Arabidopsis thaliana: one gene and its partner. The protein of the gene in region 1 interacts with the protein of each later gene in a pairwise test. Each region holds a gene or a part of one and is shown on either strand. Other genes may lie near its edges.

Region 1 (3,619 bases):
GCTATGATAAAAAAATTATTCTTGGACTAAAAAAGCAAAAGGCAGAGAGATATGGTCTTCATTTCAACTCGTGTTCCAATTTTTATCTATGCTTTGTGATATTGATATGCCTTTGCTCTTGGACAATATTTTCTCTCATTAGTCTCCCAACTATGTATGTATTAATCAATGGAGACTATGGCAGTAAAATATAGGGTCTTCATATCAACACGTTTTCCAATTTCTAAATGCTCAATTGAGTGCATAAAGATGGAATTAAAAATCAATTACTAATTCTTCTAATTTGAAACTACTAATTCTAAAAGAAAACTATTTATGTTAATTCTAAAACTGAAAATGATCCTTCATAACCACCATAATAATTCAGTATGCCCAATATTCGTTAACGGTCCAGGCCTTAGAAAAATAAATGGATTCGAGAAATGATTCTAGCCTTTAGCTAGAGGTAATCTTAAAAGCATAGAAAACTAGAAAAAATGAGCATTGCTTCTTCATCCATCTCAAGCTTTGCCTCAAAGAAACCAAGACCTATATTTGAAAAGAATCTGCCCTTTTCAATTGCCTCATGCAACCCTCAACGTTATCTATAAATGTTGTAAATGTTTATATGTCTTGTGTATAACAATTCCTTCCAACAATGTCATTGAGTCAGCCAATAACACGGACCGATAGTGCACCCAATGGAGCATTTAGGACTTTTGGTCTCTACTGGTGCTACCATTGTGATCGTATGGTCAGAATTGCATCCTCTAACCCATCAGAGATCGCCTGTCCTCGATGTTTGAGGCAATTTGTCGTTGAGATTGAAACGAGACAACGGCCTCGGTTTACTTTCAACCATGCTACTCCGCCTTTTGATGCTTCTCCTGAGGCTCGTCTTCTCGAAGCTCTCTCGCTCATGTTTGAGCCTGCAACCATAGGTAGGTTTGGTGCAGACCCATTTCTTAGGGCAAGATCCAGAAACATCTTGGAACCTGAATCAAGACCCCGACCGCAACATCGAAGACGACACAGCCTTGACAATGTTAACAATGGTGGTTTACCTCTACCAAGAAGAACATATGTTATTCTCCGGCCCAATAATCCGACTAGTCCACTCGGAAACATAATTGCGCCACCAAATCAAGCACCACCACGGCATGTGAACTCACATGATTACTTTACTGGAGCATCAAGCTTAGAGCAGCTGATTGAACAACTAACACAAGACGATAGGCCTGGACCACCACCTGCGTCAGAACCCACCATTAATTCCCTACCATCTGTGAAAATAACACCACAACATCTAACTAACGACATGTCCCAATGCACAGTGTGCATGGAAGAATTCATTGTTGGTGGGGACGCAACGGAATTACCATGTAAACATATTTACCATAAAGATTGTATAGTCCCGTGGCTTAGGCTTAACAATTCTTGCCCTATCTGCCGCCGTGACCTGCCACTTGTCAACACCGTTGCTGAATCTCGAGAAAGGAGCAATCCTATTAGACAAGACATGCCTGAAAGAAGGCGTCCAAGGTGGATGCAACTCGGTAACATTTGGCCATTTAGAGCAAGATACCAAAGGGTTAGTCCAGAAGAAACAGCAAACCAGAATCCTCGAGATAACAGGAGCTAACTCTGAATATTCCATGGGAAATAAAAATCGTGACTATCTATATGTATAGACTCTATGAGACATTGTCTATTTGAATGTGCATGTATATCTCAGAAATAAACTCAAGCGAAACATATTTAACGACTAGAGAAAGCCCTACCAAGCCCATAGCGATAAGAAGGACTTGCATGCTATAACAAAAATAATTAGTGGAAAAAGACTGTAACCTTGAGTAAACTAAACTTCTCTCTCAAATCTTACTGCAGTTCTGTCTTAGTGGTCTTACTGTAACATCCTTTAGTTTCTTGAACCCATCCATTAAAGAGGGAAATAAAGTTGCGAAATAAAGAGAGATCATCAAGAGTCAATTGGTCACCACGAAAATTATAAATAACGGTCGCTACTAACTTAAAAGCACATTTATTCTCTACTCTCTTCCTATTCGCTTCGTCTCCAAGAAACAAACACTCATTCTTGCGTTTGATCTTTCTTTCTCTAGATCCCATATTTTTCTTGATCAATTTAGTTTCATTATGGAGGAAGATGCAGCTTTTGATCTACTCAAAGCCGAACTCTTAAACGCAGAAGACGATGCAATAATCTCACGTTATCTGAAGCGTATGGTCGTCAACGGAGACTCATGGCCTGATCACTTCATCGAAGACGCAGACGTGTTCAACAAGAATCCAAATGTGGAGTTCGATGCTGAGAGCCCTAGCTTCGTGATAGTTAAACCTCGAACAGAGGCTTGTGGTAAAACCGATGGATGTGAAACTGGTTGCTGGAGGATCATGGGTCGTGATAAACCGATAAAATCGACGGAGACTGTGAAGATTCAAGGGTTCAAGAAGATTCTCAAGTTCTGCCTAAAGAGGAAACCTAGAGGATACAAGAGAAGTTGGGTAATGGAAGAGTATAGGCTTACCAATAACTTGAACTGGAAGCAAGATCATGTGATTTGCAAGATTCGGTTTATGTTTGAAGCTGAAATCAGTTTCTTGCTAGCCAAGCATTTCTACACTACATCAGAATCACTTCCTCGAAATGAGCTGTTGCCAGCTTACGGATTCCTTTCATCAGATAAGCAATTGGAGGATGTATCTTATCCGGTGACGATAATGACTTCTGAAGGAAACGATTGGCCTAGCTACGTTACCAACAATGTGTATTGTCTGCATCCATTGGAGCTCGTTGATCTTCAAGATCGGATGTTTAATGATTACGGAACCTGCATCTTCGCTAACAAGACTTGTGGTAAAACCGATAGATGCATTAATGGTGGTTACTGGAAAATTTTGCACCGTGATAGGCTGATCAAGTCAAAGTCCGGGATAGTTATTGGTTTCAAGAAGGTGTTTAAGTTTCATGAAACGGAGAAAGAAAGATACTTCTGTGGTGGAGAAGATGTGAAGGTAACTTGGACTCTAGAAGAGTATAGGCTTAGCGTGAAGCAGAATAAATTCTTGTGCGTTATCAAGTTTACTTATGATAACTAAGAATCTTTTCTTTGGATTTTATGATCATCTTAGTATCTTGAGGACATTCTCTTTAAAACATATATCGATAGTCTTTGTGTTTATATTTCTCTGTTCAATATGATTTAGAGACTAGTGTGCTTTTTTCTCTCTTTCATGTGGTTTGTGATTGTGAGAGGAGAGGCTTTTTTGTCGCTGCAATATTTTAAACCCAAAATAACACTAATCGCATGTAAACAATCGATATTAGCAGCAATCACAAACATCAGAGACAAATTGAGCCTTATGTAACCAAACATGTACATATGATTCGACAACAACCTACATGTTTCTGAATCAGCAACCCGAACAATCTATAAATTAAATGAAGATCAATTAAATTGACATGTTTTTTTATCTGCTAAGCAGAGATTGTTGTTGTGTTGATTTCTCGTGTATATGCACATGTAGCCTTTTTGGTTGCCAGAGACTTAAGAGAGAAAGAATATTTTCCTCTGTTTTAAGAAATATTCAAAGAATGCCATGGACTAGGATATAAAATGCC
Region 2 (3,756 bases), on another chromosome or scaffold:
GAGTGATTCCACTGAGATCTGTATGAGCCGGTACACCTAAAGCTAAATCCGGCCGAGGACACGGCGGATAATAGTTAATCTTCATCATATACTCCGCCATCTCTCCGCCGAGACCTTCTTTCAACGCATCACGCTTTAACCCTAATCCATCCGAGAGAATCCCTAATAACGTCTCCGATAGCTTCTTCACATGCACTGCATACTCTTCATTCACCTCCCTAATACATTAAACCAACGGTTAACTTCGGTTTACAAAATTTGAATTTTTGATGATTCTGTTTTGGTTTACCTGTATTCAGGTGGATTCTTAGGCCAGAATCTGTAATTGACGCATGACGGTGGCCAGATTCGATGGAAGAGATGATCGACCCAAGCTTTTTTACCTTCTGGATCTTTCTGAAGCTTTGTTCCGTATCCTTCAATGTCTTTCGAATCTTCCGGTTTAGCGACGGATTCTTTCTCCGACGAAGGAAGCTCGAAGAATTTTCTTCCGACGTCTTGTAAACGTCGTATCAGCTCCGTCGGAATCCCGTGGTTAACCACTTGGAATAGCCCCCATTCTTCACTCGCTTTCACCACCGCGCGCCTCACGCTTTCTTCGTCGGGATCGCTTAGATCGACGACGGGAATCGCCGGCGTTGGACCTCGGAATGTTGTGATCGCTGGTTGTTCTTTCTCTGATCTGATGAACTCCAACGGGATTGCTTCTGTTAGTAGAGAAGAAGATGAAATGTCTTGGACTCTTTCGACCTCCATTATTTTTTTTGGTAGTTTGCGTTGCCGGAAACAATGGCGGATATGTAATTTGGGGGATGGTGTTACGAGTGGTTTTAAGGAGGGAGGAAGTGAGGACGTGGCGAAATCTTGGCCGCTGGATAGAGACAACTACCACATAAAGTACGTGTTGATATGTGTAAGTCGTCGAGGCTTCGTCACTCACGAGTTTGGTACCAAGTTTTGATAGATTTATGGATGAAGAATTTAATTAATTTGATTTGTTGTTTTGTGGTGGTAGTTTTAAGAAAAGGAAAAAAGTGATGTTATTATATTTTAGGCCATAAAATACCATATTTGAAATAGATATTTTAGTACATATTTTTGGCGGGTGTTCATGTAAACACAAATAAATATCATCTTGAGTCGTTGACAAAAACAAAAACAAAAACAACAAACTTTGGTTGGCCATTCTAATTACTGTAAAGATTTTCTTCTGCATTTCGATTGGTCCATGAATTTTACACAGGAAACATTATTTAATGACTTGGTTTCTAGAGTGGGTTATTTGAAGTTTTCTTTTTTTGGTCAAACATCATTTGGAATTTAATCAAATAATAATGGTGGAGAGTTAAGGCTTTACCATTTTAAATCGTAAGCAATGAATAAAATACTGGTTTCAAATCCAACCCCATTTAAAGCTAAAGATTCAAGGCCCATATAACAAGACAAGGCCCAGTTATTGGGCTACTATAGAAAAAGGAAAAACTACAGTATAGGGCTCTAAAACAGCAACACCTGTATAAACAAAAAAAGGAAACCGAGTGCTACTTAAGATATAAAATAACAAAAAAAAGGTGAGAGGCTAATTCGCATATTAAGTTTTTTTTCCCGTCTTTCCCATAAGGAAGGACGACGACCAAAAAGAGCTGAGAGCGAGAGAGAGAGAGAGAGAGCGAAGAGAAAAACGAAGAGAGACGGTGAGATCTCAACACTTGTATTCTTTCCTTGAGAGACCACCTCTCTCTCTCGACGACGCGCATTCCCAATTTCATACATTCTCCGTAAGATTTTTGATTGAGTCTCTCTAATTTCGTTGTTTATAATTCTCTCCAATCGTTTTCTTTGTTGTGGCGGGAACATCGATCCTCTTTTCTTCTGCGATTTTGCTTTCTTCGTTGTGATTTCGTTGCATTAGCTTCGAATTTTCGTTCCGTTTTGTTTGTTATTGATGATTGTGTTCGTCTCTTCTTTGTTACATGTGTTGTTATGCTTTTTTGACTGCTTTTTGTGTGTTTTACTTGTCCGTTTCGCCTTCTGGATTCTCCGAAAGTGGCGCATGATAGTGCTTTCTTTTTCTCGATCTCTCTTGGGTATGTGTTTTGATTCCTCGGTTTCGTTTTGGTTCCTTTGCTCTCAAGTGTCAATTTTGTCCCATGGTTTCAGATCTTTTCTAATTTCGATTGGGATTGCGATTTTTCTAGGGTTTAGTGCTATCTCGGTTTCTTCTGCATTGCTTTTCTTAACATTTTTCATTGGCTTTTCTTTTTTGCACATGATCTCACAAGTACCACTTGCTTTTCCATAGGCTCTGTCGAATTCAGTAGAAATTAGAATCAGCTCTAGGCTTGCATGCAATCATTTGCATTCTGTGCCACAAATTTGTACGTTTGCTAAGTTTTACTTGACCGTTGTGTCACCTTAAACGCCTTATGGGTTGATTTTCTGTTCTCCATGGTTTACATTTTCCGCTTTGGAACAACTGTGACGTCTTGCTTTTGTATACAATTCCCTTCTTGCTTGGATGACCTGGTTCTACATTTACTAGGATTTCACATTAGTGAATATGAGAATCACTTATATAGACCATTCATTTTTGTCTACACTGCAGGTTGGTTTTGCCATTTGAAGGATGCCTCTACTAAAAAAGAAGTCACATAAACTACTGGAGCCCCCAAAGAACTTGGAGCCTCAAGAACTTGTCTATCAAGTTCGTCTAACAAATGAGATCTTTCGAGATTATCAGTATCCTTATTCTGTAACTGTTACAATTTTAAGACTTATGTTTTGAATATTTGCCTTCTCCTTCTGTGTGCAGTTAGAGGAAAGAGAAATAAGCTTAAAACTTGTAATTCTGTTTGCCTGTTTCATTCTGGGACAACCTTTATTCATATTATTCTTCAAAGGCTTGGTTGTTCATGTTTATCAGTGCACATGCCGTGTCAGAACTATTTGTTTGCTTAACATAAAATAGATTGTACTTGAAGAGGTTAAATCTGTATCGCAACCGAGTTTGGACTTGTAAGTCTACTGGTAAAACTAGCTTGAGCTACGAGGAGGCCTTAGATTCAGAAAAACTGGCAGGCAAGAAGGTTCAAACTCTGCCCAGAGAGCTAGTTGCACCTGCTTTACGCATCATCCAATTCAGTAAGTTTTTAACTCCTTCATTGATTATTTTTATGTGATATAAGTGTGTCGAAGTCTTGATTTGCAGAGTGTCCAAGTCTTGATTTTACCTTTCTCGGTTTCTCTCTATAAGTTTTGCAAATCAGGACTACCTTTTTACCGTTTTGAATTTGTTTGTGTAAGATAATTTTCTTAATACTTGAAATCTCTGGTTTATGAGCATTATTTCTGACTCTTTTTCCTCCATTTTGAAAAGGTACGCTTTCATTGAAAGATCTTGCTGACAAAATAGCGACAGAGTTGCAAGATTGCTTTTTCCCTGGCGCAGAGTTGTATGGGGAAAGGGATGGGGAACTGCATCCTTGCAAAATCTTGAGGATAGTATCAGATGGGGATAGTAAACCTCAGTATGAGGTAGGCTTCCTTGACAAAAACAAGGAAGTAGATGATAACACAGTGCTCTTTGGGGAGGATCTGTCATGGAAGAAGTTTCCATTTAGTAGAAATTTTCTGAAGTCCTTCATTCGAGATTCCACATGCCACAGTATACCTTGGGTAGTAAATGATTACCTGGCTAAAGCACATGAAATCACGAGAAAGATTCCCAAGGAACTTCAGAACAAATATGTCTTTCAG

The links. The genes of interacting proteins can lie anywhere in the genome.
Region 2: the proteins of NAC024 (region 1) and AT5G08630 interact in a two-hybrid assay, tested with the Arabidopsis thaliana proteins (one large-scale study listed by BioGRID).

The regions. Positions count from the first base shown.
Region 1 is NC_003070.9:22,240,750-22,244,368, reverse strand, and holds NAC024 (NAC domain containing protein 24), read left to right. Parts: upstream 1-2,133; coding exon 2,134-3,096; downstream 3,097-3,619. Other genes in the region: AT1G60360 (RING/U-box superfamily protein), read left to right, coding at 638-1,621.
Region 2 is NC_003076.8:2,801,009-2,804,764, reverse strand, and holds the start of AT5G08630 (DDT domain-containing protein), read left to right. Parts: upstream 1-1,593; 5' UTR 1,594-1,778; exon of another isoform or gene 1,779-2,087; intron 2,088-2,605; 5' UTR 2,606-2,626; coding exon 2,627-2,739; intron 2,740-2,968; coding exon 2,969-3,141; intron 3,142-3,376; coding exon 3,377-3,756. Other genes in the region: FLS1 (flavonol synthase 1), read right to left, coding at 1-218, 290-756.